Nothobranchius furzeri: one gene and its partners. The protein of the gene in region 3 purifies or fractionates together with the protein of the main gene of each other region. This does not show direct contact. Links are inferred from orthologs where the notes say so. Each region holds a gene or a part of one and is shown on either strand. Other genes may lie near its edges.

Region 1 (10,060 bases), on a different chromosome or scaffold from region 3:
GACGTAACCCTTCTAGTGTGGGCTACAGATGGACGTAACCCTTCTAGTGTTGGCTACAGATGGACGTAACCCTTCTAGTGTGGGCTACAGATGGACGTAACCCTTCTAGTGTGGGCTACAGATGGACGAGTTCTGGGAGAATGGCAGGGGACAGGAAAATCCTCTGGCCCTGTTCTCTCCGCTGTTGTCTCCATACAGAGTCCACCTTTTCAGAAATTTGCTTTTATTATATTTGGTAATAAAGATATTTACATACGATGACAGTTGCAGCAGAAAGTGACATCACTGATCTTCGCCAAAAGGTTTCCGCAGCTTCAAAGAATAATGAGATCGAATGGAAGAAGCAGGGATGTTTGCTTTGTTGTTAGCAATGGCTTCTTCCCTTCCACCAACTATCCAGATTTTAAATGTCGATTGTTTGGCAATGTTTGATTTAATTACAACCAATCGGCACCCTTTCCTTCTGTAGGTTTGAGGCTCCCTTAGCCGGACTGCTAACAGAACGAAGACAGACAGTCAGAAAACAATATGAAGCTCTGCAGCAGAGGAGGGCCCTGCAGGACACCACCATCCACCTCCGAAGCCCAGCGGCCAACGCTGTTACCTCTGTGTTGGCGCTACCAGGTCAGAGCATCCCCGGCCTGCGTCTGGACCGCACCCAGAAACTGCAGCTGCAGCAGCAGGTGCAGCAGGTACATGATCTACCTCACCCTCTCCCATGCCCTCATGCAGGTGAATAAACAGTACTTCTAAATACATGATGGCGAAGCTCACCCAGCTGTGGGGAACTCTAATCCTCCAGAATCAGTTTCCCTCTTTGATCGTATGAAACCGTGCAATTCTGATTGGTTCTGGTTTCCAGTGACAATGCAGAGAAGAAAATAAAATAAGCATCATATCAAAAGAAACGTCTCTACCAAACCTAATAGGGAGCTGTTTTCATTGTTCTTTGGGGATCAATGAGCTCAGAACCTCCCTAGTAGAACATGTAATCCCAGAGTGGAAGTCTGCACCTAACTGACTATAAGGAATCTAATGTTCATCCCCCTGGACCTTCAGGTGAAAGCATAGACTAAATGTTACTGTACCTTTCAGCATGTACAGCTGCTGACTCAGGTTCACCTGCTGAGTCGTCCCATCGGCGCCCTGAACCATGAGGCCAGTCTGACCAAACGTTACCTGGTGAGTAAACAGCCCTACCTTTCCCTAAAGGTTTCTGCAAAGCGACATCATTCAGGTGTGAGCTTGCTGCAATCCTGAACCATTTTCACACGCCTGATTTCATGTTTGTTCTTCAGGGATCAGTCTGAAATCAGCACAAACTTCATTCTGTTTTCCCAGGAGGAGCTCCAACAGTTTGCCAGTTGCCGGGAGGAGATCCGTCTCCCTAGCAGTTTTAAAGTGTGTAACCTGCAGAGAGCACTGGATCTCCTGCAGGAGGTGGAGCGGAAAGAGGAGTCTCCTCGTGCTCTTTGTGTTCCTGCAGCTTTCAGACGCTTGCTGCCCATGATGACACTGCCCACCAGCAGTAAGAAGGCCCCTTTGTTTCAATTTTTTTCTATGAAATGTACATATTAGTGTGTATTTCAGTCCACTGTGTGCATCTGCAACTTTTGGTTCTGGTTGTGTTCAGGTCATGCCTTCCCACTGCTGCCTGCTGACACTGCCTGGCTTTTTGCCACACGATCCATCTTCCTGTACCCAGAACTACTTCCTGTCTGCAGCCTCGACCCTGCACTCCACAGCAAGCGTCACAGGAGTTTTTACACAGCAGGAGAAGATGGGTACAGAAACACACAGTTGGTCCGATAAGTGTTTTATTACAGCTGAGATCAGATGTAATTCTAAAGGTTTTCAGGTCATGTTTTTGCGTGGCAGCTGCTTAAATGGTTGTTAAAAAAGTACATTTTAGATAATTTCACAAATCTTTAGTTTAGGACTGGCAAACAGTTAAAACATTTAATTCGATTAATCACGGGCTTGTTATGGATTCATTCAGATTAATCACAATTAAAAATCATTCTTTTTTGTCTATTAATCTCATGTCATTTTGCATGAGCAAACAGACTCGAGAATAAAGGGACTAACATGTTTATTGAACATCTTGAACAAAAAGTCTGTTGAAATCCACTTGGCGATTTAGTCAGTTTGTCCGAGGTAAACTTACTGAGGTCTGTTTGCTCGCAGCATCCCTGACTAACGATTGTTTCCTGTTAATGTGGTGTTTTAAGCTGGAAGTGCTTTGGTGAAAAGAAAATTCCCTCCTGCACAATGTGCATGAGACTTGATCTGTTGACTGTTCTGTCTTTTTTTTTTATTCGCCCAAGTTTCCCATCAAGAGGGACAATGTGCTGTTTAGCATCTTCAATATTGAGTTGATTTGTTCTGCAGCCCGTCACTACCAGATCAACTGTTAACTCTGGTTGGACAAATTGTCCAAAATGTGAAAATAGAAACCCTTCTGGGATTTTGAGTCATTCTGTGCAGCAGTTGGTTTAATTAGTACAAAATTTTGACTCGGATTAATCATGATGATGGATTATTCTGCGCTAACATGTTAATTTGACAGCCGTACTAAGTTTAGATCACTTTACAAAAGGTTCCAATTCAGATCAACGATTTAATGCAGTGTATCTGAGAGTTGAGAGCATGCTTGTTGATGCAGACTAGAGATGGGATGTGAGCTGGAAGAAAAGCAGAAATTCAGGGTTGAGCTAGAAGATCAGGAAGTAGCTGAGATCAGTAAGGATGAAGTGAGGTATAGAAGAGGTGTCGATAGGGCTGGGCATTAGGGGCCAAAACTTCTATCTAGAATCTAGATAGATAGCTTTTCCCACTTCTTATCTTGTTGAGCAGGGATTCAGCCAGGTACTGTACATGCAATCAAAATACCGAAACCGGCTAAATCTGATAGCCTCAGGTGCACTACGGCTCAAGTTAACATCTCTCAATCCATCCACAAAAACACTTGCAGCAAATCACCAGGGACAAGGGTCTCACTAATCTACCCACAGCGATGATGACTCCGCTTTAAGCAATTTTTTTATGATCCCTTTTTTTTATGACATATTTGTATTAAACAGTTTCAAAGTCTAGGCTGAATTGTTATTAGTTTTTTTTTCGTAATCATGATTTTTGTATCAAAAAAACTTTCCGTTTCTCTGCATTGGTGGGCAGTAAGGCATTTCAGCATAACTTAGGGGGCGTTTAGCTGAAAAAGGTTGAGAAACCCTGATCTAGATGTTTTTCTTGCTGTAAAGGAAAGGGGGAAAAATGATATTCTAACTTTGTGACGTAAAATCATCCTCTACGCAGCATGGAGCTATGAAAGCTGTGAATAAACTGACTGGAATCTCTCACAGAGAAGATTCACAGTCTTTTCTGAGGTAGTTTGGCTGCTGTTCTGCACTAACCTTCATCCTCCCATCATGCTTTGCTGCAGGCTGATTGTGCTCGGTTTGAAGCATTTTGAAGGGACGATCCAGTCAGATCAGCTGATTAGCTCCTACCTTCTCTGTAAAAGTCGGTGGAACATCAGGAAACATATTCGAGAGATGAGTGGTTCAAGAGCACCGCGGGAGAGCGTTATTAAGGTGACGTCATCGTGAGTGACATCATCACGTCTGGATTTAATAGTGCTAACGTTCCCGCTTCTGTCTCCAGATGTTCATGACACAGGGAGTTGTCCCTTCACTTCCACTTGCCTGCAGCAGAGTTCACCCAGAAGACCAGCGCCCCCCTGTGGACAGAAATACTTCTAACATGCCGAACTGGCTCAAGGTCTGTGGACCTCCCTCAAACCAACTGGTTAACCAACCCTAACTTATCGGTTTACTAACCTATCAGCGTCCTTTTTAGCTTTTCCTTTATAAACAGATTTTAGGCTAAATTACAAGTTTTTCTGTTTTTATATTATTTTAGTTTTAACTATATTTAGACAGTTTTTGTGTTTGCATTCCCTGTTAAATAGGATTTTATTCACCTGGTTTATCAGTTATTATGAGAAACTAATGTGTCCCCTTACTAACTAATTATTACTAACTAACTCATCCATCATGTGTGAAAGGACCCATCTGTCACCTGGTGACTAATCTGGGTAACCTGTCAGTTCCCTGTGAACTAACTCCGAGTCAAAAGTCACTAACACGTCACCTTTGTGGCTCTCACCTGCAGAACAGTCAGCTGATCATCCAGAAGACTCGACTGGGTGGCTCTTACCCCCCCTCCCTGCCCCCGGGCTGTTCCCTCAGACTTCACCCCTATTATATCAATAAGTCCCAAAAGCCTCGGGCCACTCCCAAGCGCCTTTTCACCCTGGCCCACAATGCATCTCTGCTTCCCCTCGCCAAAGCCCCAGTGGACCAACAGGTGGAGCCAATCAGCCACTTGTCCCACCCGTCTCTTGGAGGCACTGTAATTCCGGAGCCCCCTGCTGTGTCAGAAGCCTTACCAGTGGCCCTGTCTCCAGTCTGTGGAAGTTTCCCATTGGTCGCTGTGCTTCCAGGCCCAGAACATCAGACTGCCAACCTTCCTGTTGGCCAGAAGAACGCCGTTCCTCTGCTCCTGCCTCTCACGTCCATGTCCAGCTCCATGACATCTCCCAATGCCCCTTGTTCTTCTGCTAAGGAGGAGCAAAGTTTTGTCCTCGTGCAAATGATGTGGACACCACCCGCACCCTGTTCTACCACCGTGTCCCAGGATGCACCAGGATGTGCGCTCCACAGAACAGTCAATGTGGAGCAGCCACGCTCCATATCTGGAAAGGAGGCGAATGTTGAAGGGGAGGAGAGCTCTGCATCATCACTGAGTCCACTTTCATCCTGCACAGGAGACAAAGAGGAGGAGCAGCAAATGGAGGAACAGGAGCAGCATTGCGTGGAGGGGACCAGCGTAATGGCTGTCAGCTTCAACGGGGGAACTGGGGGAGGCAAGGAGGGTGGAGAGGGAGAAAAGATGGAGGAAAAGGGAGGCCATGAAGAAGAGGAAACAGGTGGGGAAGGTGAGGAGGAGCAGAGTGAAGAGGATGGAGGAAGGGAGGAGGGAGGAGAGAGAGAAGAGGATGGAGACAAGGACCAGCAGGGTGAAGAGGATGAGGAGGATGAAGAAGAGGAAGAAGAAGAGGAGGAGGAGGACTTTGATGACCTCACACAAGATGAGGATGAGGAAGAGGCAATGTCATCAGCATCGGAGGAGTCGGTGCTGTCAGTTCCAGAGTTACAGGTAAGCAGGAAGCTGTCAGGTGAGCGATGATGTCATTCAGATTGAGTTTTTCTGACCTCAGTCAGTGGCGTCCTACGTCCCGCAGGAGACCATGAAGCAGCTGACGTGGCTGGCAGCGGAGCGGCGGCTGTGTGTGGACGGGGACTCTGAGGACGACCAGTCTCCAACCTCGCAGGAGGAGGAGGACGAGGAGGAGGATGGGGTGAAAGGTGAGGATGCGGGAGATGGGCAGAGCTTCAAGGCAGGCTTGGACGAGGAGACGCCATCTGGAGAAGGGACTCCCAGAGGACGAAGGTGTCCAGGACGCGGACGAGGTCAGCCTGTGTCCGATGATTTCCTTTTATTTTCTTCTGTAGCTTGTAGCAAAACCATTCTCTCGACTTCCTCTGTGCAGGTCGCAGCCGTCCTTTTCGTGGTCTGACAAGGACGCGTCAGGAGCGTTTCAGTAAAGACGCAGCCAAACTGCTGCTGCTGTACGACGAGAACATTCTGGAGAATGATCCGCTCAGAGAGAGTAAAGATATGGCGTTTGCTCAGAGTTACCTGAACCGGGTGAGACGAAAACACCAGAACCTGCACGTGTTCGTGCCATTCTGTGTCCGATTTCACTGAGCAGATGGAGGCAGGAGCAGATTTTCTCCAGCTGGATTGATTTTTTTGTTGTTGTTGTTGTTGACAGGTCCGTGAGGTGTTGCAGGATACACCCGAGCAGGTGGAGGAGTTTGTGTATCTGCTGAATAGGTTTGAGCAGGTGGGAGAAGGACAAGAAGTGACTCAACTCTTCAGAAAGCTGCGCTGCATCTTGGGAAGTCACACGGATCTCCTCAGAGACTTTGCAGCCTTCCTGCATCCCGAGCAGGCGCTGCAGTGTGGACTGGTGAGCAGAGGGAGCACACAGAGTTTTATGGGTCTGCAGGTGTTTGTAATCTCACCTCATGTCCTTCAGCGTGTCGGACAACCTTCTGATTTTTGAACATTTCCGGTGCAGTTTGAGGAGCAGCAGGCATTTGAACGCAGCCGGCGTTTTCTGCGACAGTTGGAGATCAGTTTTGGAGACAATCCATCACATTACCAGAAGATCATCAAAGCTCTACAAACTGGACCCGACATGAACGCTACCAGCATCCAGGAGGTCTGGCTGATTCATCCACTTTTAGTCCAACTTGCCGAAACTCATGATTTGCTTATTGGTGTTAACTTGAAGCTGTCTCTGCCTTCAGCTGAAAACCCAGATGGGGACCCTCCTAAAAGGCCACACCCACTTACAAGCAGAATTCTGGGTATTTTTTGATGATCTCCGCCCAACCTCAGCGTGTCCCGGGCAGTTTGAAGAAGCCCACTGGCTGGAGGAAGGAGAAGGTGGTGAGGGCAATGGCCTTGTGTCAGGAAACGGAGCCAGTGGCAGCTTTGAGGAGGTGACGCTGCCAGAGCTCGAAGAAGAGGAAGAGGGGCACAAGGTCCAACCAATGAGAAGCCGGCGTCAGAGGAGGAAGATGGATTCTCACAGAGGCTACAAGGTATAGAGGAAAGCTTTCTTTTAAAAGGTGTTCGTTTTCAGTTTTAAGGTCGTCGTCTTCCTCCGCTTATCCGTCCGGGTCGCGGGGGCAGCATCCCAGCTAGGGAGCTCCAGACCGTCCTCTCCCCGGCCTTGTCCACCAGCTCCTCCGGCAGAATCCCAAGGCGTTCCCGGACCAGATTGGAGATGTAACCTCTCCAACGTGTCCTGGGTCGACCCGGGGGCCTCCTGCCAGCAGGACATGCCCGAAAACCCCCCCCAGGGAGGCGTCCAGGAGGCATCCTGACCAGATGCCCAAACCACCTCAACTGACTCCTTTCGATCTGGAGGAGCAGCGGTTCTACTCCGAGTCCCTCCCGAATGCCCAAGCTCCTCACCCTATCTCTAAGGCTGAGCCCGGCCACCCTACGGAGGAAACTCATTTTGTCCGCTTGTATCCACGATCTCGTTCTTTCGGTCATTACCCAAAGCTCATGACCATAGGTGAGGATTGGGACGTAGATCGACCGGTAAATTGAGAGCCTGGCTTTCTGGCTCAGCTCCCTCTTCACCACGACAGATCGGTTCAGCGTCCGCATCACTGCAGACGCCGAACCAATCCGCCTGTCGATCTCCCGATCCCTCCTACCCTCACTCGTGAACAAGACCCCGAGATACTTAAACTCCTCCACTTGAGGTAGGACCTCTCCCCTGACGCGGAGTTGGCAAGCCACCCTTTTCCGGTCGAGAACCATGGTCTCAGATTTGGAGGTGCTGATCCTCATCCCAGCCGCTTCACACTCGGCCGCGAACCTACCCAGCAAGAGCTGAAGGTCAGAGCTGGATGAAGCTAGGAGGACCACATCATCCGCAAAAAGCAGAGACGAGATTCTCCTGCCACCAAACTCGACACACTCCACACCACGGCTGCGCCTAGAAATTCTGTCCATAAAAGTGATGAACAGAACCGGTGACAAAGGGCAGCCCTGGTGGAGTCCAACCCTCACCGGGAACAGGTCCGACTTACTACCGGCTATGCGGACCAAACTCACGCTCCTCTGGTAAAGGGACTGAATGGCCCTTAACAGAAAGCCACCCACCCCATAATCCTGGAGCGTCCCCCACAGGGTGCCCCTGGGGACACGGTCATAAGCCTTCTCCAAATCCACAAAACACATGTGGATTGGTTGGGCAAACTCCTATTCTCCCTCCATCACCCTTGCAAGGGTATAGAGCTGGTCCACAGTTCCACGGCCAGGACGAAAACCACATTGCTCCTCCTCTATCTGAGATTCAACTATCGATCGGACCCTCCTCTCCAGTACCTTGGAGTAGACCTTTCCAGGGAGGCTGAGGAGTGTGATCCCCCTATAGTTGGAACACACCCTCAGGTCACCCTTCTTAAAGATGGGGACCACCACCCCGGTCTGCCACTCCACAGGAACTGCCCCCGATGACCACGCAGTGTTGTAGAGACGTGTCAACCATGACAGCCCTACAACATCCATAGCCTTGAGATACCCAGGACGAACCTCGTCCGCCCCCGGGGCTCCGCCGCTGTGTAGTTGTTTGACTACCTCAGCAACTTCTGCCCCTGAGATTGGACAGTCCATCCCCAGGCCTCCCAGCTCTGGTTCCTCCTTGGAATGCGCATAGGTGGGATTGAGGAGCTCCTCAAAGTATTCCTTCCACCATCCTACTATAGCCCCAGTTGACGCCAGCAGCTCCCCATCCCCACTGTAAACAGTGTGAGCGAGTTGCTGCCTTCCTCTCCTGAGGCGCCGGACAGTTTGCCAGAACTTCTTTGGAGCCGATAGACAGTTTTTCTCCATGGCCTCACCAAACTCCTCCCACGCCCGAGATTTTGCCCCGGCAACTGCCACTGCTGCACCCCGCTTGGCTATCCGGTACCTGTCTGCTGCCTCCGGAGACCCACAGACCAGCCACGCCCTGTAGGCCTCCTTCTTCAGCCTGACGGCTCCCCGAACCTCTGGTGTCCACCAGCGGGTACGGGGGTTGCCACCACGACTGGCACCGGCCACCTTACGACCACAGCTAGCAACAGCCGCCTCAACAATCTTAGAGTGGAACAAGGCCCACTTGGAGTCAATGTCCCCCACTGCTCTCGGGACGTGGTCAAAGCTCTGCCGGAGGTGGGAGTTGAAGACCGTCTTGACAGGTTCTTCTGCCAGGCGTTCCCAGCAGACCCTCACTATGCGTTTGGTTCTGCCAGGTCTATGTGGCATCTTCCCCTGCCATCTGATCCAACTCACCACCAGGTGGTGATCAGTTGACAGCTCCGCTCCTCTCTTCACTCGGGTGTCCAAAACATACGGCCGCAGGTCAGATGATACGACTACAAAGTCTATCATCGACCTGTGACCTAGGCTGCCCTGGTACCAAGTGTACCGGTGGGCATCCTTATGTTCGAACATGGTGTTTGTTATGGCCAAACTGCTGCTTGCACAGAAGTCCAATAACGAAACACCACTCGAGTTCAGATCAGGCGGGCCGTTCCTCCCAATCACACCCCTCCAGGTCAAGCTGTCATTGCCCACGTGAGCATTGAAGTCCCCCAGCAGGACAATGGAGTCCCCTGATGGAGCACTATCTAGCACTCGTCCCAGGGACTCCAAAAAGGGTGGGTACTCTGAACTGATATTTGTCCCATAAGCACAAACAACAGTCAGGACCCGTTCCCCGACCCGAAGGCGCAGGGAAGCTACCCTCTCGTCCCCCGGGGTAAACCCCAACACACAAGCAGAGAGTCTTTGGGCTAACAAAAAGCCAACCCCAGCCCTCCGCCTCTCACCCGGAGCAACTCCAGCAAAGGAGAGTGTCCAACCCCCCTCAAGGACTTGGGTTCCAGAGCCAATGCAATGTGTCGAGGTGAGTCCGACTATATCTAGCCGGTACCGCTCAACCTCTGCCACAAGCTCCTGCTCCTTTCCCGCCAGCGAGGTGACGTTCCATGTCCCAAAAACCAGTTTTCTTGTCCGGGGATCGGACCGCCAAGGCTCCCGCCTCGGTCTGCCACCCGATCCACATTGCACCGGACCCTTCATGTTCCTCCTGCGGGTGGTGGGTCCACAGTTGGATGAGCCCATGTATCCGGTTCGGGCTGGGCCCGGCCGGGCCCCATGGGCGAAAGCCCGGCCACCAGGCGCTCGCTCACGGGCCCCAACCCCAGGCCTGGCTCCAGGGTGGGACCCCGGTAACCCTCCGGGCCGGGTACTCCGACTCTTTGAATTTACATCCATGAAAGATCCTGTGAAGTTTTAAGGTAATATTAAAAACGGCTACAGGAGGAGCCTGGATTACAGTAATGGTAAAATGTTTCTCACT
Region 2 (10,060 bases), on a different chromosome or scaffold from region 3:
TGTGTAAACTAGACTTATGAGGGAGCTTCTCGTAGTTTTCTCCGGGATGGATCTAAAACTAAACTGGGCCCCACTCCCATTATCAGAGCCAAAATGGGAGAACTCTGTTTAGAAATGACCCACTGAAGCTCTAATGCTAAACTCAAAGTAAACTAAAGGGGATGGTGCTCTGGCGGAACGGTTTCAGGCCTCCACGACCGCTGCGTTCTGGTTCTCCTCAGCAGGAGGCCCCAGTGGTCCAGCCCACCACAGGGTCAGAGCGTTGTCTTGCCGGCTCTCCTGCTGCGGCGTCACAGCTCCGTCTCCCTCGGCTTCTGAGGCAGAGTCGCCATCGCTGTCACCGGGCCACGGGAACTGACGCTGACCGCTGGACGTCGCCACCAGGGGCATGAAGGGATGAACACTGAGGAGAAGACAATTCTGGTTGTGTCAAAGAAAACCAGTTAAAGACTTGAGTTTTGTTGCAGAGAATGCTCGGAAATCTCTCCAGGTGTGTGTAAAGTGGTTCTACCTGACGCCGTTGGTGCAGTCCCAGTGGGCATGGAATCTCAGCTCGGGCTGCAGCAGCTCTTCGTTACCATCAGGGGGCGCCGTCCGACTGTCCCAGACGGACACCACTCCTTCTGTGTCCCCACTGAGGAGGTACCTGCCAGACCTGACACACACACACCCTTTATTTTGAAAGGGGGGAAAACTGACAACCTTCCCAGCTGGCTGAGAAAGAAAGATGATCCAGGACAACCTTCCTTCCAGCAGAAATGTTTCTGTTTTTGGATCATTTTCTTACACACTGCACCTTAACATGTCAAAAACTGGATCTCCCACCAGCAGCTTGCTGGAAAGATAGAAATCCACTTTCTAAAGATGCAGTTAGAGGCACATGGAATCACTCTAAGGGCCGTAAACAGCCCCCGAGCCACACTTTGGACATGCCTGCCCCACGAGGTCACACACACACACGCACACACACACACACACACACACACACACACACACACCTATCTGATTTTGGCTAATAGGGACAAGTGGTGCCATAGATGGTAAACTTGATTTAACCCTTTAGTTTTTTTCAGTAAAATATGAATTTTTTATATCACTATTTAAAGAGCTTGTAGCTTAAATCAGGTTAGAGATAGAGGAATATTGTAAATTAGAAAAATCTTCTGTATGAGCCAAATTCTGTGATAGGAACTAATTCACTCACATAATATGCATATTGTGACGTCATCAGGTGGCAGCCATATTGGATTGCATCACATTTGCAGATTTTTTTTGTATGTTTTTGTCTTATTTTCTTAGTGTTGTTATTGTTTATGATACATATAGACATATTCCTATGTAGACATATATAACTATGTATGTATATATATAATATTTATTACTTTATTGGTATTTTGTTATGTTTACTGCATATCAATCAAGAACACTGATTTTGGTGCTTCAGCGTCATGAACACATTTCACTCATCCCTTCTTTGGTTTATTTTGTTTATAATTATATATAATTATATATATATATATATATATATATATATATATATATATATATAGTCCACAATCTCATGCTTTTCCACAAGCCCCATGCAGAACTGAATGTCAATGAACGCTTTAATTTCTGGGACAGTTACATCGTACCAGTCATTATATCTGGAGCTAGATTTCAGTTCCTCCCTCTCTAAATACCGGTGAGCATATCGGTTAGTTTCAGTTGTGATGAGGGTCCAGAATTCCTCATCCAAAAAAACTGACAGAAAATCAACATGTTCTGAATTTGACAGATCCCTGTCTCCACATTATCCAACTGGCTCATCAAAATGCCTGATCCACTTGGAATACTGTTCCTCTTCTCCCAAACTAACCCAGCCATCATCATTATTATCGTCACTGAGGCTGTGTTGGGCCACCCCCCTGCTAGCAGTGATTTTTTTTTTTCCCGCGGTTCCTCCCCCTCCTGCTGCAATTCCCGCGGTTTACACCCCTGGGGCTGAATCGATCACCAGTGTAGTTTTCACCGGCCCGATCACCACCACCACATCCCTCCCCACGGAGGTGGTGCGGGACATCGGACAAGGTAAGGGCTGGATGGGCTGCTTGTGTAACCGCGTCATCGCTGACAGACTTCCTGTTGCTGCGCTCTGAAGCCACGCTTTTCGTCTCGCTATAAGACCGCAGATCATCCGAATCTGCCAGTACTAGACGAAGAGCTTCGTCAGCACTGAACATTCCTCTCAGCATTGTTTTTTCCTCTACCACTCGCTCGCTCTTACAACCTCCGCGACTCTGCGACTGGTGGGCGGGGTTCAAGCGCTAAATACTCGAAAAGTTTCAATAGTAACACACCCGCAAATGCTGCTTGGATTGAAGTTACAGGTGTCTGCCACCCCGCAGCGTAACGTATTAACTGCACGAGGGCTCAATTCTGCTGCTGTGGCTTTAAATCCAACATTGCTGCTTGTCGCAATTCTGCGATTTTGGCACTTAAAGGGTTAAGTGATGCCTCCGGGAGCAGGCATCCTTCCTGCTTCCTTCAATCCGTGGCCTGTGACACCCAACGAATCCCCAAAACAGGTGTCTCTGTCCTTTTCATACACCTGAGGAGTGTGTGTGTGTGTGTGTGTGTGTGTGCGTGTGTGTGTGTGTGTGTAACTGCTAACCTGTTGGCATCACAAACCAGACAAAGAGAACAGTGCAACTCTCTAGAACTAGCCTGTAACATCCTACCTTCCACAAACAGAGCACAAGTCCACTCACCGGTCCAGATCAAAGTAGATTCGTTGGTTGGTGGCCACGTTCCTCTTCAGGGAAAACACAACTTTCCCCGGCTCTCTCAGGTCCCAACACAGAATCTCTGGATCCTACATAAAAACACAAAAGGACAGCTGTTTGTTACACAGATTCTGGGACACAGGCTCGTGCCCCGATGCTTCCGAGACCCGTGACCTTGCGCCCGCCGGTGTACAAGTAGTTTCCGTCGGGGGAGAAGAGGAGATGGGTGAGGCCTCCGTGGTGGTGGGTGGGCAGTAGAGCCAGCAGGGTGCCGTCCTGACAGGAGTAGATCCCGGCGCAGCGGGAGTAGGAGCCACAGGCGTAAACGGACAGACACGGGCTGAAGCTGAAGCAGGAGATGATGCCGCTCTGGCCTCGTTTCTTCACTGACAACAGAGACACGATTAATGATTTACACAACTTTCTGTTCAGCTGCACTGAAACGAGCTGCTTCAGCCGCTCTCACATCCCTCCTGACACCATGTATTACACGTTTATAAGTTTAAATCCACTGTTTTGTTCTGCTCGGACTCCACAACCTAAACCTGAGGGGACCTAGGGGTCCATCTGATTGATAAGATTATATTTGGTATGTAGTTTATGTGTAATTATTACAATTTGGTGTGGATATTTTTACTTTGTGGCTTATTTAGTATCAGCTGGTTCATGTAAGCGTTAGCTTGTTGTTAGCGCTAGCTACAGCAGGCTGTGGCAGTGTTGTTTACGATAGTTGTAATTCCGCTTTCAACCAGTAGGAGGGAAAGTAAGTTAGCATAAATGCTAGCATGTTAGCGTGATGATTTAAAATGGTTGATGATCTTTCAGAAACAAGTTGTTTACATTTAAAAGTCACTCTCTGAATGCTAGCTAACTTACTTCTGTTGTGTTATTACCGTCCTCTCTCTCCTGATAAACACTGAGCCTGCTGGAGAAGTTTCCACGTAAAAAAGGAATCTGAAGGCGGGTGAAGTTCGGACGTCTGCAGCTACGATGTAATCAGTAAAGTTTCGCATCACGCTGAATATGTTTTACATAAACTACACGTTTTGTACTTCCGTCACTTCTTTCTTTTATCATTGATGCTATAAATAATGACAAAACTCAAGAGAACAAAAAGCAACCTTTAAGAAGAAAAATAAAAGTTCACTTGGTGACATTTTCAAAAGTTATTATTCTTGATTCAGGCGTAGGAACTCCAATAACAAAAAGAAGTAACAGTCGGTGCACGCAGAGCAGCTCTGTTAATGTCAGAACAACTAAAAACACTTTGAGCAAACAGAAACGGTTAGAAATGTGTGACAGACAGAAGGAATTCATCACAGCCAACACACGTCTCCTTAGTTTTTGTCTGAGAAACATAATAAAATGTCGTTGTGTTGATTTGTTTCAAGGAGACGAGACGGTGGGCTGTCGGGCCGCGGCAGCTCACTGAAAAGACCAGACAGCTGACTCCGTAACTCAGCCTTTATCTGTCAGAAGTTTTGTTCTCCGTGAACTTTATTTGCCTGTAAGTCACTTGCACTTTACTGGAAATAATATTAAAGTAATTACACACATGAGAGCATTAAATGGCATCGGCTGTGTACGTGACAGCCCGTTTACACAGTTTAGACTAAAACCCAGGAGACTGACCTACGGTGGGCCGCTCCTCGCAGTCTCTCCCGGGACGCTCCGTGTAAAACACCCGCACCATTTTCTCAAATCCGCAGTAGAGCTGAGCTCCGTCTGGCGAGAAGCAGAGCGAGTGCGCTGCCGTCAGCTCATCCAGATGGTTGTAGGGTCGGAAGCTGGCTCTCACGTCGCCGTAGAAGGCGTCCCACACGTGCACGGGGTTGTCACGGCTACTGCTGGCCAGACTGGGGAGGAATAAAGCAGAAGGAGCTGGTAAAACAAAATGTCAGCATCCCTTTTGAAACAACTTCTGACAGATAAATGTTCCCCACCTGCCTGAGCGTAGCAGGGCATCAAAACAAACCCACCAGCTGAGAGCTGGTCCTTATGAATCAGGGCTGGAGTCTGAGCCTGTTTAAGTCCGGTTACTGAGCACCCGACACTAAACATCGGTGTGGCTTAAACAGACAAAGGAAATTAGCTCCTGCTGTTCAGTTATGCCAAAATCATGCCCCCCCCCCCCCCCCCCCCACCATGCCGAGGCTTTATTCCAGAGCTGGGAAAAGTCCAATTATAATGCTAGACTGCTGCTAGCTTGGAGCGCTTCCTGGAAGTCAGGGCGACTTAACCGAGCCGTAACAGAGACCAATATTCCCGCTCTACAGGGGGAAACACGAAGCTTCGGCTGAGCTCAAGGAGGGTGGAGGGATGCTGATGAGAGAAGCTGACGTGGTTTTTGATGTCTTTAATAAACCCTTGCAACATCCCACCACCTGTATGAGATGATCTGAGGATGAGCATGTCGCCTCCTGCTGGCCGCTCCGCGCCTCAGCATGACTGGCATCAACACCTCTCCACTCCATCCACATGAGACGTCTGTTGATCCTGTTTACTGAGCTTTCATCTCTCCATCTCCCGGCTCCAGCTCTGCCCCCCACTCCCTGGTTGGGGTTGCCACAGTGGAGCGGCATCAGAGCCGGAGTTTGATCAGAGGAAACCGCCGCAGGGTGGATGGAGGTTGTTACTGAGACACGGCGGGAGCCGAGGGACGAGGAGGAAACGAGCTGAAAGCTACTGGCAGCTTGACCCCGGCTCATTAGAGCGGTCCTTTTACCACATATGATCTCCAGCGACGGGTGGTGATGCTGAACCAGAACCACTGATGTCACCATTACAACAAAAAGACGCTCAGATCAGAGACCTGAGTGGATGTTTGGGTGTCTCCCGGACCAATCAGATACGCTTTCCCACAAAAATCAACTTTTATGACATAAGCAAAGATGAAATGAGGTCAGAGAAACTAATAATATTAAAGAAAAGTTCTGGACTTCACTCACAAACACGTGTCCGGCTCCAGCGAGCTCATCTTGGGGTACCAGCAGTAGTCGTAGACGGTGTCTCCTTCAGCCATCCTCAGAACCGGACTCTGGAACAGGAGGGAGACAAGAACAGGAACATAGGGTCACAGGAGCAGCGAGTGCTGAATCATCTTTGGATGTAATCTCAGAAAACGCATTTAAATATTAAAAACACCTAAATCAGAAGGCTGGTGTTGCTGTTTATTTATTTGTAAGGAAAATTACAACAAAGGTTCTGAGCTTTAAAAAGTAAAGCAGTCCTACATGTTTAAAGTTTAGGTTACACCTCTCTCTGGGTTCTGACTGAAAGAGCATGGGTTCTGTACGTATATTTTATTCTGCTTTTGTTGTTTCTATTTTATGCTGCACTGTTCTCGTCTGCCTCGACTCTAAGGTTCTTTGCTGCTCTTCAGTTGTTTTATTCAAATGTGCTAAACAAATAAAATCTCAGTTCTGAGGGCATCACAGACACATTATTTATCTAAAGCTCACTTTGAAGGAAACAGATGTGTTTCTTCTTAGCTTCAGAAAACAACCATCCTAAAGCCCAGCACACTGGTAAACAGTCAGTGTGTGAGGCTGATCTATTATTCTACTTCTATGTTTCAGCAGCTTGTCACAGATGGGCTGGTCTGAGGCACCAGAACACACCCGGGTTTTCCACTGGGTGTGTATTGTTAAGACACGTTTTAACCACAACATCAGTAGCGTGTCCATTCCTACCAGAAACGTTTCTGATGCTTAGTCGCAGCAAAAGTGTTTCGTGCAGCTGATCCTATGAGATCACAAATGTCTGGAGAGTTGCGTGTGATTCCAGCTGTTTAGTTCCAGTGAGCATAAAGATGGCAGCAAGTATCCAAAAGGTCTGGTTCATTTTCTGTTCTTTTACCTCAGCTACAGAAGTACAGGTAATGAGATGTTTTTTTTTAACTAGTAAAGCAACTGGAAATGTGCTTGTGACTTTTATTTTGAAATCTGTCAGATGCTACACTGCTCTGTATTTCACTTCCTGTCTGGCCCAATCTGAACTACTGATCTTGACTCGGGTGAAAGCATAGCATAAAGAAAATAGACCTGGGGCATAAAAGCAACTCAAAACTCAACAGAGATGTGTCCAAAGCACACCAACAGTCACACACTGCTTACGAGTATGGCGGAAAGCCAGCGCTAGAGTCACAAAGTATTATTTTTCATTTTTTGACATATCTTCATTGTGAAGAAGATGTTTTTTCCTTCAATCCTGCATTTATCCCAGTTTTTGTCATTGCTGATCAGCCAGGGTAAGAAGTGGGGGCTTGTCCGGGATGAAGTTGTTTTCCTATTTACACATTATTCTAATGAAGAAAAAAAATAACATTGCACTATTTCATTATTAACTGTTATTAAAGTCCTACTACAAATGTTTAACGCTCAGTTTGGAGGAAAAAAATCAACAACAGCTTGTCGACAACAGCATAAAAACCTTAATATAGATTCAAAAATCAACTCAAACTCAATAAATGAAGGACAATCAGTAGAGACGTCATGATCATGGTTTTTGCTCCCAATCTGATTCAGAGTCATTTGATTTTAAGAATCTGCTGATACCGAGTCCCAGTCTGATACTTTAGAAATGCATTTAGAAAAATGGAGAACACACTAGCGTTCTCCAAGTTTTTTCTTTTTTAATCATTAATGCTTTTCTTTATTTATGTCATTTCTTATGTTTATCTGCCACAAATTATCCCTTGTTTATGAAGTACATTATTAAGAAACTTGCTAATATTAAGAATATATGTAAAAGTAGCCTTGTTGCTCATATTTCAAATTGTTTACTCAGTGTGGCTGTTTTGAGCGACGGCACGGTGACGGCAGCAGTAGGGTCACCCATTTCTACAAAACACCTGTAGTGCTGAAGTGATGTAAAGTTAAGAGAAAGCAGATCATACCGTGACTCAACAAGAGTGCAAAACCACAAACACTCATCCAATGTGATAAATATCGTCCCATTTTTTGCAGTCCGTAGACTATTTTTTCTTCTTAACATATCTTTTATTCGTGTTTGTTGCAGCAAACTGAGAAGGGTTCGGTTTTTTAAGGTGGCAGCACTACCTTTTCCACCACGCTAAATGCCCAGTTTTCACATATTACACGTGTCTATTACACTCCCTTTGCTGTCAGTGTTATCATCCAAATTACAGACATTTTTTGTCTCTTGAGACGACGAGTATGCTCTGTGTTAGCTAACTGCTACATGTTATGGAGCATGAATTCCTGGGCTACCTTAAATTGTGGGACTTTACAGCATTGTTGTCTGTGGAACAAAAATACTGATGTAAAAGGAACTTGTTGAATTGAAACTATTCATTGTTTTTTTTTAATTGAAAATCTCTTTCTTGGGATGAATTTAAAAAGTGATGTTTGTTATATCTCTCCTTTAGAGATAGGGCGAGAAGCTCGGTCATCCGGGAGGGGCTCGGAGTAGACCCGCTGCTCCTTGCGCCTTGGGATTCCCCCGGAGGAGCTGGACTAAATGGCTGGGAAGAGGGAGGTCTAGGCCTCTTGACTTAGGCTACTGCCCCTGCGACCCGACTCCGGATAATCATAAGAAAATGGATGGACGGATGGATGAATGTTTGTTTTTTTTACTTGGTTAAATCCAATTTTTCCAACCCGATTCCGATCCATTAAAAAACGTGCTCGGAAATCAGGTCCAATCACATGATCGGATCGGAACATGCCTAATAATCAGATAAGCTAAGTTGCTCATAGGTAACTCACAGAGAAGCACATTATGGAAATCTGCTTCCTTAAACGCACCACAGTCAGAACTCGACTGGTCAAACTGGAGACCAGTTAGAAACGTCTTTAATACAATCACAGAACCAAGAGTCCAGAGTTTTTTGGTGTTTTATGTGGAGTTAATGATCCATTTAAGGTTTCGTATTATTGGATCTTTTCCCCTAAATAACCATCAGCTGACACGTCATAAATCATTTTCTGGGCAGGAAAAGCTGATGATTTACATCCCGTCCTTGCCAGGAAACCAAATCCTTAAAAGAGATGAAGGGTTGTAAATTTTTCAAGCAGCAGTTTAAAGACAACATAACAGATTTTTAATAAGAGTAAAACCCAAAAGGGCTGGTAGAGAAATACGTTTTCCACCCTTATAATACAGGATCTGAAGTCTCTGGGATGGAAGAAAATGGATTACATGTCAATTATTCCTGCTCAGCGATCCTAAACTACCAAAGCACAGCCTCCGTGTTTCTACTGAGATGTAAGAACTGCTTTCTGCCACACATTTCCTCAAGGGTTTGACCAATCTTAGCCCTCGACAGCTGCTGCTCTCCATGTGTTAGATGCGACTTTGCTCCAGCACACCTGATGTAAAACAGCAGGTGTTCAACAGGCTTCTGCAGAAGTTAAAGCTCTCTACCCAGAAACCCAGCTCACCATCTCAGGGAGGAGGTCCCAGCTGTAGCTGTAGATCTCTGGCGGGAGGTTGTAAACACGGAGGACGTTGTCTGCGCTGTTCGTTAGGATACAGGAGCCATCAGGAGCCCTGATGATGGAAGAGGAGGGGGGGATGACACAAGCAGAGAACAAAGCTCAGGGATAATGCAGCTACAACCAAAATAAACCCGATTTTATACAAATATGAACTTTTACTCGTGTGATTTAGTAATTAAACACCAGTGAGGTTACCATTTGCAGCCTTTGAGGTAATTCTCTGGAAAGTTGGAGTACTCGTTCCAGGAGCCCGTCAGCATGGTGGGGTTCTGGGTGAAGTCCAAACCCAGGCTGGAAGCAGAACAGAGACGAGAGCGAGCAGAAACTGAGTGGAACGAATGATCCAGGGGAAAGTCATCCGTTCAGCTGGAAACCAGTACTCGCACTTTGTTTGATTTTCTGTTACTCATGAAAAAAAGAGCTGCATCTTGTAGAAAACAACCGCTTTAACAAATGCCCTTTCAAAATAAGAGCATTTAGAAACAGAAATACATTAAACAATAATAAACATGTGTTACTAAAGTTTGTTTTATTTAGTCAAAAAATGTACTTCTCATCTCCAACATTTTTATTTGATTATATATGTTTGCCTGTATTTTTTATTTGCTCTGTGATGTTTTTGACTCAACTTTTTATGGCTTTGTTCACAAACGTACTACAAATCTTCACTGCGGCCTAATGGGTGCGCTACAACTAAGCAGGTTAAAACAGGGTATCTGCAGGTTTAAGGGAGCCAAATTTAAGACTTTTTAAGACCTTTTTAAACTTTGACCAAATTTAAGCAATTTTTTTAAAATTAAATTTAAGCTATAATTTCCAGCTATTGTCTGGAAC
Region 3 (9,406 bases):
GACTCGAAAAGAACCCACAGTAGGTAAGAAATCTCTGATCGAACATTTTGTGGTACCTGAGAGACTGGGTGGGCCTATCAGGAACTGCTCTGGAGTGGTTCTCCTCTTATCTTTCTGAGTGTTCCTTTTCTGTGGCTGTCTCCAAGTTTAGGTCCTCCACCACCTACCTTACCCATGGTGTTGCACAAGGTTCTGTGCTGGGGCCTCTGCTCTTCCTCCTCTATCTGCTTCCTCTTCAGCACATCCTGAGCTCCTTCAAAGGAATCTCCTACCATCTTTATGCAGATGACATCCAACTGTACATCTCCTTTAAGCCCCATGAGATGTCTAAGCTGCAGCTGTTACACACCTGCTTAGACTCTATCAAAACCTGGATGGCTGGGAGCTTTCTTCAGCTGAATGAAGATAAGACTGAGATCCTCATCTGTGCCCCAGACAAGCTGGTTCCCAAAGTCAGAGACTCTCTTGGTCAGCTTGCTTCTCACACCAAACCTTCCATCGGGAATCTTGGCGTGACCTTTGACCCAGCTCTCACCCTGGATTCTCATGTCAGTTCTCTTGTTCGCTCTTCCTTCTTCCATCTCAGGAACTTTGCTAAGCTGAGTCCCATTCTGTCCCGCTCTGAACTTGAGACAGTTATCCACACCTTCATCTCCTCACGCTTAGACTACTGTAACTCTCTTTTCACGTGTCTGAGCAGAACCTCCATGAACCGTCTACAGGTGGTTCAGAATGCCTGTGCTCGGCTTCTGACCAAGTCCTCCAAACACACCCACATCACCCCGCTAATCCTCCAGCTTCACTGGCTGCCAGTCAACTTCAGGGTTCATTTCAAGATCCTGGTTCTGGTCTGTAGGGCCTTACATGGACAAGCACCATCTTACATTGGTGATCTTCTTAGTCTCTACACCCCCAGCAGGTCCCTGAGTTCCAGTGATCAAAGCCTACTGCTTGTGCAGCACCAGGCTAAAGACCAAAGGTGACAGATCATTTGCTGCGGTGGCCCCCAGACTCTCGAACTCTCTCCCTCTGAGCCTGAGATCAGTGGACTCAGTGGTCTCCTTTAAAAGGCAGCTGAAGACTCACCTGTTCAGGCTGGTTTTGTATGACCTTCTTCACCACTCTCTCGTTATTCTGCTCTCCCCACCTATTCCACCTTCCTCAGGATCCACTGATTTCCCTCTTTCCCATTCACTCTCTCGTCCTTAACATTTTGTTTTTTAATCACAATTGTCTATTTTTTGCTCATTTTAAATGTATTTTTAACCATTTTCTAAATTCATTTTTATATTTTTACATTTCTTGTTTTTGTGAAGCGCCTCGTGATTTTTATCTTGAGAGGCGCTATAGAAATGATATTTTCTTCTTCTTCTACCTGCACTTCTCAGTTGAACAGAGACGCTGAGACCCCCAGGTTCCTGCAGGATGGCTGGAGATAACAGCAGACAGGTGGAAGGACAAGGGGAACAATTACTCATCACTGAGTGAAGATAAGTCACATTCAGGCTGTCTTGAGGCTGATGAGAACCAGATTAGGTGGCACCTATTCACTTAACAGCTCTCAGTCAGCACTTCCTCTCAAATCCAGCCTGTTGGACAAACACCGACCAGTCTAAAGAACTGATGCCAATTTAAACATACACACAAAGCTGAGATCTTTTAGTAGGAGAAAGGATAGTAGCATCCATCCATCCGTTTTCAGCTGCTTGTCCGGAGTGGGGTTGCGGGGGCAGTAGCCTAAGCAGAGAAGCCCAGAAGATAGTAACTGATTTCCGAATAACTCAAAGATGAAAAGATTCAGCATCTTCCATTGAGCCCACTCATCCCTCTGTCACATCTAGCCACAGGTAACACAAGAATGTGTTTCTCTTCTTTAGAAAGTTAAAAACACACTCACCCTGGTTCATGCGCAACTCACACTCCCTCCAGGCAAACACCAAATCACATTGCTAGACGCCTAAGCTCCACAGGCAGCCATCGCTCTCACGCAAAAAGAAAAGCATCCTTCACAAATCTGACCAGGTGACTTCCACCTGCTCCCGTATCAAAGTAAGTCCGCTGGGAGAAAATCAGAACTGGGTCATGTTAGATCTGCATAAACAATGTTTCTGTTGTATCTCTCCACAGCACACACAAATGCTCTGTTTCTAATTACCAAAGCTGGCAAAGAACATTTTCTTTTCCATGGATGGATTCCCTCCAAAATTAAAAACACAAGGCAAGGCACGCTCCCAAAACTTCATGAGAAAATTCCCCCGGTTGTCTCCGGGATGGAATCGTAACGTTCCCTCTGCACGCCTGCAGAGTTGCTTTCAAAGTGAATGTGTTGGTGCATCGCCCTGCCAGGTCCAACCCTCTCCACAGCTTTTTTCCTCCTTCTCTTCCCACTTTTCATTCCTTTCCCCGTTTAAGTCGAAACACAGCTGTGTTTATCACTAAAAAACACTAGATCTCTAGATTTCCCCAGAAGCACATTTTACAGAATGTAAGTTTGACTAAATTTGGTTTGTCCTGGATGCTGCTTCCACATGAACCCTTTAGCCACAAACAGCTGAAAGCAGGCAGAGCGGTGAATTTAAGGTCTGGGTTAACCATCTGGCTTTCTGAGGCCGGATGTTGGTGTTGGACACGTTGTCAAGGCCCGGGTAATTGGTTCAGTTTGCTGCTTTTGCCATCAATAAAACAGCCAAAGCAAATGGAAATGTCTCAGATTTTGCTGTCATTCATCGTCAAACACCATCACCAAAAATGAAATCTGGACCAGACCCTCCGGCTGAAAGGTGCATGAATTCAGGTAAACTGAATTAACCACATCTGTTGGGACACCTACGTATAAACTATTGCTGTCAGATGTGCTGTGTGGACACGATGAAGCTTTCACACATCTGTCGTAGACTTTTCATGTGGAGTAAGAGTATGGAAGAAGACATGGGGAAGAATGAAGCACGTGCAGATCTCACAGGAAGCAGTCAACCTCTGGTGGTAAAACCAGTGAACAACATCCCCACCTTCACCTCAGCAAACATAACACTCCTCATGTCTTCATACACAGCTTCCAGATTTTTCTTTTAATGTTTGAAAGTGATGATTTGGACACGCAGCAGCAGCTCAGGAGGTAGAGTGGGATGTCCAGTAATCAGAAGGTTGTAGGTTTGACCCTTGCTGTCAGAGAATGCTGCTGTTGTGTCCACGGGCAAGACGACTAACCCACCTTGTCTGGTGGTGGTCGGAGGAACCAGTGTACAACAGGCCTCGCCTCTGCCAGTGTTCCCTAGGGCAGCTGTAGCTACACCGGATCTCCATCACCACCAGCGTGAATGTGCGTGCATGGGTGAATGACTGTGTGTGTGTGTGTGTGTGTGTGTGTGGGGGGGGTTGGGGTAAAAGGGCTATACAAATACAGGCAATTTACTACTTTGCAAGTACTATTATTTTTTCTGCAGGGATTCTGAAGTTAGTTTTTATCGGACTGCTCATCACCCCTCAGTCCAGTAAGTTGAGTCAGTGGTACAGGGACAAGAACTGAAAAACGTGTAAAAGAAACCACAGAGGAAGCCATGAATGTTAACACTATCTGCTCGCGTGTTTTTCTCCATGTGCAATAAGGAAACACCTGGAGCTGCTTGAATAGACAGCCGTTAGTACATTTCATTTGAGACTTCACCACCACACAAACACGTTTCCAGGTGACAGATGTTGTCTTGCAGAACTTTTAATGAAACCGTTTTGTTGTGAACAGGCGTTTCACATGATGAAAACATACAGCAGCCCTGAGAACCTGAGTGCAATGCATAACAAATGTTTAGTTGCCAGTGTGTGCAGCTAGCATTGGATCTGGTCAGTTGCAGAAGAGTTGCTACTTTAAATAACATTCAAGGATGAAAAATAAACTCAGGATGAAGATTTTCAAGTGACATTTCAGGCTAACTGGGGAAATTTAGCCTAATCTTGTTTCTTAGCAAAGGATCTAGCCTGAAAGAAATTACCTTAACACAAGCCTTCAATAACCCAAACAAAATATGCTTTGAGCGACATTGATAAACTAGAAAAGTTGCCCTTTCGGTCGGTGGTTGGCCCTTAAAAGGGCCTTTGGGTTCATTGTGGTTAGCCGTGAAGCTAATACTCCTGAGACTGAGAGGACGCCTTCTTTCCCGCCTTGCCGGAGCTGGGTGCTGCCTGGCCGGCCTTCTTGGGCAGGAGGACGGCCTGGATGTTAGGCAACACGCCTCCCTGAGCGATGGTCACGCCACCGAGCAGTTTGTTCAGCTCCTCGTCGTTACGGACAGCCAGCTGAAGGTGGCGAGGAATGATTCGGGTCTTCTTGTTGTCCCGAGCGGCGTTGCCAGCCAGCTCCAGGATCTCGGCGGTGAGATACTCGAGGACCGCAGCCAGGTAAACAGGAGCTCCGGCGCCCACTCTCTCAGCATAGTTTCCCTTGCGGAGGAGACGGTGAACACGGCCCACAGGGAACTGCAGACCGGCGCGGGAGCTGCGGGTCTTCGCCTTGGCGCGGGCCTTAGCACCGGTTTTACCTCTTCCAGACATTGTTGAAGATCTCTTCCACGAATATGATTTCAATGCAGAAAATCGCAAAGTAGAAAGAAAAAAGGCTCGCCGAGCCATATATAAGCCTCCACGTTAGTCCCGCCCCAAACTACTATTGGATGCTAGAGAGAGAAGCTCTCATTTGTTTGGCTTTAGGAGATCAAACGTTCCAGGAAGCCAGTAACTATTGGTTTGGCTGCTCTGGCTCTACACCAATCATCGAGGAGTCTGACCAATAGACAAAGGTAATTGGTTGTTTATTTGTTCACCCAGTTTCACGCGGGTCACGTGTCAGAAGGAAGACCAATAGACGGTCTTCCCTCCAGCTTTAAACGTTTTGGCGCGTTACCGAACGAAAAGTGAACATTTCAAGCGATTTAATGAGTATTGATACAGTAAAGTATTGAATAATGTTGTCAGGGTTTTTGACCAAGATCGAAATGTGGTGACACATGTATCACAATTATACATGAGGACAATTTATTAAAATGCGCAAAATGTGCTTGAAGTAAGCTTACACTGCACAAACTGTGTGAGGGAGGGCCAGCAAGACATGGAAAATTCCACCATCCTCCCCCACTGAGACGAAGCTAATCCTAGGCAGCTCAGCAAATAACCATTTTACTGGTAAAAATATATACCTTTTACAAAAACAAGACCATATTAACTAAGTGCACAATCAACATTAGGGTTGAAAAATAATTTATTTGCAATAAATTACATTTTCAAAATATAACTGGGGCCTCACATCTTGAATTTTACAGCCACTTTTTCAAATTACATTCACATATCACTACATGTATATGTATGTGTGCTTTCAGGCAGGAGAGTGGTTTTGATCTGTTCTGCATTTTTAATTAGTTTGACAGTATTGTCCATACAGTACTGGCTTAATGTTTGGCATGTCCATTTGATAATATTTAATCAGATTAAATATTTATTTAAAAACACAGTAATTGAATAATTGATTTTGGTTGTTATGAGGTCCCAAAATTATTGCAGTTATTTCAAATGAGGTTTTTATAAGAGAAAAAAAATCATATGTACAGTTTTACAATTGGTTCTGATTGCTGCAGCAATTATCATTTTGTGTGTCTAGTTGTTAATATTTTTTTTCCAGCCCTGAGAGCAGTTCCACGTATAAAAAACTCTTAAACTTGGTTCTAATTGCCTGAGCTGAACCCTGACAGTCCAAGTGGATTGAATTAAATATGTTTATGACAATAATTCTCCTAAATACAACATTTTGCTGTTTGTGTAATATAAATTAATCAAATGTGTGACTGTTTGTTGTAAAATATGTTTTCTTAGTGAAGCACTGAGCTGCTGCAACTCAGCTATACCTGATCATTGTAAATCGTTTACCGACATGTTTATTTTTAAAGTTGATAGTCTTTCTTTATTTTTATTTTTTATTTTTTACAGATTAAGCTTATTGCCCAGCACGAGATGCCTGCTGACTGAACTATCAAAATCAAACCATAGTTATGATATTCCACAGAAAATAATTATCACACAAAATTACGATAAATACACCATCTTCTCTGCTTTTTATGCGATTAAACATGAATTTTAAAAGTAATTTTTAAGTAATCACAAATAAACAACACATTTTAACAGAGAAAGTTATATTAACTTACTTAAAGGTCTTCAAAATTAAATTTGCATAGAAAAGAATGCCAACGTCACTATTTTACAGTGCAATGCAGCGAGGATGACTTGTTTTGGGTTGATGAAATAAATAATATGGTTTATAAATCACACAGAATAATAAATTATCATTTTACACCCAACAAAATTTTACATGTGCTGTAAAAAAACAAATAAAGCATCAGTCCAAAGTGCATTTACATCATTAGTCTGAGTATATCCACCACCGATTCTGATCAAACCCTCTAGTGTGTGTTAGGAGTGTTTCATCGTAGTGACTTCCTTCTCACCAAGCAGCACGATTTTGTCTCCTCAAACAAACAAAAAGAGTTCATCATCACATTTGAGATCCAGCATTGCTGTCACAGGACTTCTGTGTTGAAGGTGCAATTCCTTGTTTCTAGACAGGATCCCTCCCAGCGGCATCCTTAGAAGTGTGGGTGACAGCCCACAGTGTGTGTTCAGCGATTCCAGCAGCTCCTTTTGAGCTACAACGACCTTCGTGATATCGATCAGTTCTCCACTGAACTTGCTCCTCCGTTCGTAGAAGCAGCTTTGCCTTTTGACTTGCCAGACGAGCGTAAGGAGAAGCGTTTGATGAGACGCCGCGAGAAGCTGCCAGACTTTTTACGGATGCTGCTTGCAGCTGGAGCAGCGAAGTTGTTGCCAATGTTGGAGATGTCCTCGTGGGACTGGCTGAGGCAAGGCTCCTTCTCTCGATGCTTTCTACGAAACAAAAGCTTCGAGCCGCTCTGGAGAAAGCCCACTGCAGAAAGCAGGTACATCACTTTATCTACTGATTATATGACATCACCATTTATCCAATGTAAAGCAATCATTGTGAAAACCACCAGGGGGCAGCATCAGCACAGTGATCCTTAGAAGTTATGTAACGCTGTTCAGTTTGTAGTGACACTTTGAAATTATGCTTTATTGACAAAAAACAATATGCAAAATAAATCTATTTAAATTAATACATTTAGCAAACATCTGCATGGAGTTTTTAATTCCTGCTCTATGTCAACAATGAGCAAACATTATTACCTTTATGATCCTTCAGGCTGCGGGTTTCCAAGGCACCAGCAGAACCAGTATCAGACTCTACATCGTCCACAGACGGACGCTCCGACACCTCAGAGGGAGTGGTTTCATCCGGGTCCTGGTGATGACCTCCCCTGTAATGGTTGCCGTGCATGGCTGCATCCATGGATGCTGCGTAGCCGCTTGACAACGCACAGTGATCCTCAGTGAGTGGAACCTGATATGCAACAAACATCAAATCATTTATTATGTATGAAGACAGGAAGCTTGTTTAAGGTCTGCTCTCATGATAATCAGTTTCTTTAGTTTTACTAATAAAAGCAGACGCTTCCAGTGGCTTCTGTGTCAAGGGCACCAACTTCACACACACACACACAGACACACACGGGGTTTCTACAAATTTTCTTCCAACAATCAGGTCAGTAGACTCGTTCTACTAGTGTAGTAGGGCGCTGTGATGCGAGACTAAATTTAGATCACACTCCTCTCGCCTGCGTCCATGTGAGTATTTTATATCCTTATCAGACTTCACTTCCAACATCTCAAAGGGCTACAAAGAATCATAACGGCTCATCGCTAAAAGGTAGAGATGTTTCATGTGTAATTCTGGAAGGAACAGCGTCCTCTGACCTTTGACACTCCGGATATGATTAGTGTGCTCCGTTTTGTTGGGGTCTTCCTTGCTGTTTTGGACGCCGACTCTGTCAGCTGCCGAATGGCCGTCTCCGCGACGGGATCCAGGCCGTTAGAGAGCCGACTGCTCTCTGTGCAGCAAAAACACAAATATGGAAATCAGGGCTGCTTGTTCGATCCAGTTGCTCAAAAACACGATCAAGCTGAGCTTTCTGACACTTCACAACCTTTAAAAAAAGCATATTTTATTGTTTTTTTGTATTCTGTGGGTTTGGGTAGAGCAGCACTCGCTCAGAGGGAATTAAGGGTGCCTAATAGTGCTTTCCTCTCCACTCAGGTTACACGGCTGCTCGCCGCTTATCCTGCTTTGCATCTGTTTTGTGAAACAATGTCGGGTTTTTAGTCTGGACTCACTACTCGGGTTGGGGCTGCCGCTGCCGTCCCGGTCATCAGACACCACGGTGGCTTTGCTTTCATTCACCTCCACTTTGGATGAAGAAGACAAGGGCGAGTCACCTGAAACGGCATGAACATTTGACATCACTCTAACACTTAATACAACAAGGGTCCTTTTATTAACGTTACTTAGTGCATTATTAACAGGTGTGTACACAAGTGGTCCGCAGGTGCGCATGCGCTGTCAAAATAAACAATGTGCACTTGAAAAAAAGCGGCAGCACGCATTTGCGCACCAAAGATTTTGTGGAGGAAGAAAGACATTTCTGGAGCATTTTAAAAATGTCCTTTAAGTAATTATTTTGGTGTTCCTCCGCCTCCAAAAAAACGTCAGACTGAGTCGGAACCGCAAAAGAAAAGAGTATTTGCGGAGAAGAGGCTGCAGGAGGTCGGCTGGCTTCAAACAAACAATGAACGCACAGAGACGTGATGCAGATTATGCCGTGAAAATCCCACCCTGGCAGACAAAAACGGCGCCTTTTACATAGGCACTGAAAACTTCAATCATCCAGCGTTTGATAAACATACTAACAGCAGACAACATCAGAAAGTTGTCCTCTGCTGTGTGTGAACTGGAGGAAGCCAGTCGGGATAGTGAGGAGGAGGATGATGAGGATGATGAGAGTCTGTAGAAATAAAAACGGCATTTATGCCATTTAAAAAACTTCAGTGCTCTGAAATAGGAATTTTGTTAAATGCTTTAAAATTAATTTTATTTGATTTTTGTTATCACAAAAGCAGCTGTTTGCACTTTGTGTTCTACATTCAGACAATTCAGTCATGTTATTTTAAAATGAGAAGTTTTTAATATGTACCTGTTGTACTTAATGTTTTTAGTCAAAATTAAAATATGTTGCATCATCAACGCGTTACTCTGTTTTGTTTCTATTGTGAGTTGGGTTAATTATTAAGTGCATTTAAAAATGTGAGGACCAAGCAACAACCATAGGTTCTCCCCTGAGTACCAACCCAAAAATATTATGTGCACCCCTGATTATTAAGCATTATTGTTAACTATTAAGTGTCCTTAAGGTTAGAACAAAGGGCCTTGGGTGTCTGCTTAGTAATGCATTATATAATA

The links.
Region 1: the proteins of h2ax (region 3) and gon4lb purify together in Homo sapiens (affinity purification with mass spectrometry; 3 studies listed by BioGRID and IntAct, counting the BioPlex papers as one, with this or other methods). This does not show direct contact. The link is inferred for Nothobranchius furzeri from reciprocal best matches to the Homo sapiens genes H2AX and GON4L.
Region 2: the proteins of h2ax (region 3) and wrap53 purify together in Homo sapiens (affinity purification with western blotting; 3 studies listed by BioGRID). This does not show direct contact. The link is inferred for Nothobranchius furzeri from reciprocal best matches to the Homo sapiens genes H2AX and WRAP53.

The regions. Positions count from the first base shown.
Region 1 is NC_091745.1:66,364,808-66,374,867, forward strand, and holds part of gon4lb (GON-4-like protein), read left to right. Parts: intron 1-469; coding exon 470-692; intron 693-1,095; coding exon 1,096-1,182; intron 1,183-1,341; coding exon 1,342-1,528; intron 1,529-1,633; coding exon 1,634-1,784; intron 1,785-3,442; coding exon 3,443-3,593; intron 3,594-3,663; coding exon 3,664-3,780; intron 3,781-4,173; coding exon 4,174-5,220; intron 5,221-5,305; coding exon 5,306-5,534; intron 5,535-5,614; coding exon 5,615-5,772; intron 5,773-5,899; coding exon 5,900-6,097; intron 6,098-6,208; coding exon 6,209-6,352; intron 6,353-6,440; coding exon 6,441-6,737; intron 6,738-10,060. UniProt on the Homo sapiens protein: Has transcriptional repressor activity, probably as part of a complex with YY1, SIN3A and HDAC1. Required for B cell lymphopoiesis.
Region 2 is NC_091742.1:83,807,505-83,817,564, forward strand, and holds part of wrap53 (telomerase Cajal body protein 1), read right to left. Parts: intron 9,518-10,060; coding exon 9,422-9,517; intron 9,279-9,421; coding exon 9,170-9,278; intron 5,803-9,169; coding exon 5,714-5,802; intron 4,622-5,713; coding exon 4,398-4,621; intron 3,152-4,397; coding exon 2,940-3,151; intron 2,855-2,939; coding exon 2,751-2,854; intron 656-2,750; coding exon 512-655; intron 404-511; coding exon 184-403; 3' UTR 1-183. UniProt on the Homo sapiens protein: RNA chaperone that plays a key role in telomere maintenance and RNA localization to Cajal bodies. Specifically recognizes and binds the Cajal body box (CAB box) present in both small Cajal body RNAs (scaRNAs) and telomerase RNA template component (TERC).
Region 3 is NC_091750.1:47,424,212-47,433,617, reverse strand, and holds h2ax (histone H2AX), read right to left. Parts: upstream 4,647-9,406; 5' UTR 4,624-4,646; coding exon 4,117-4,623; 3' UTR 3,695-4,116; downstream 1-3,694. Other genes in the region: phospholipid transfer protein C2CD2L, read right to left, coding at 6,708-6,961, 7,240-7,453, 7,867-8,000, 8,284-8,385. UniProt on the Homo sapiens protein: Variant histone H2A which replaces conventional H2A in a subset of nucleosomes. Nucleosomes wrap and compact DNA into chromatin, limiting DNA accessibility to the cellular machineries which require DNA as a template.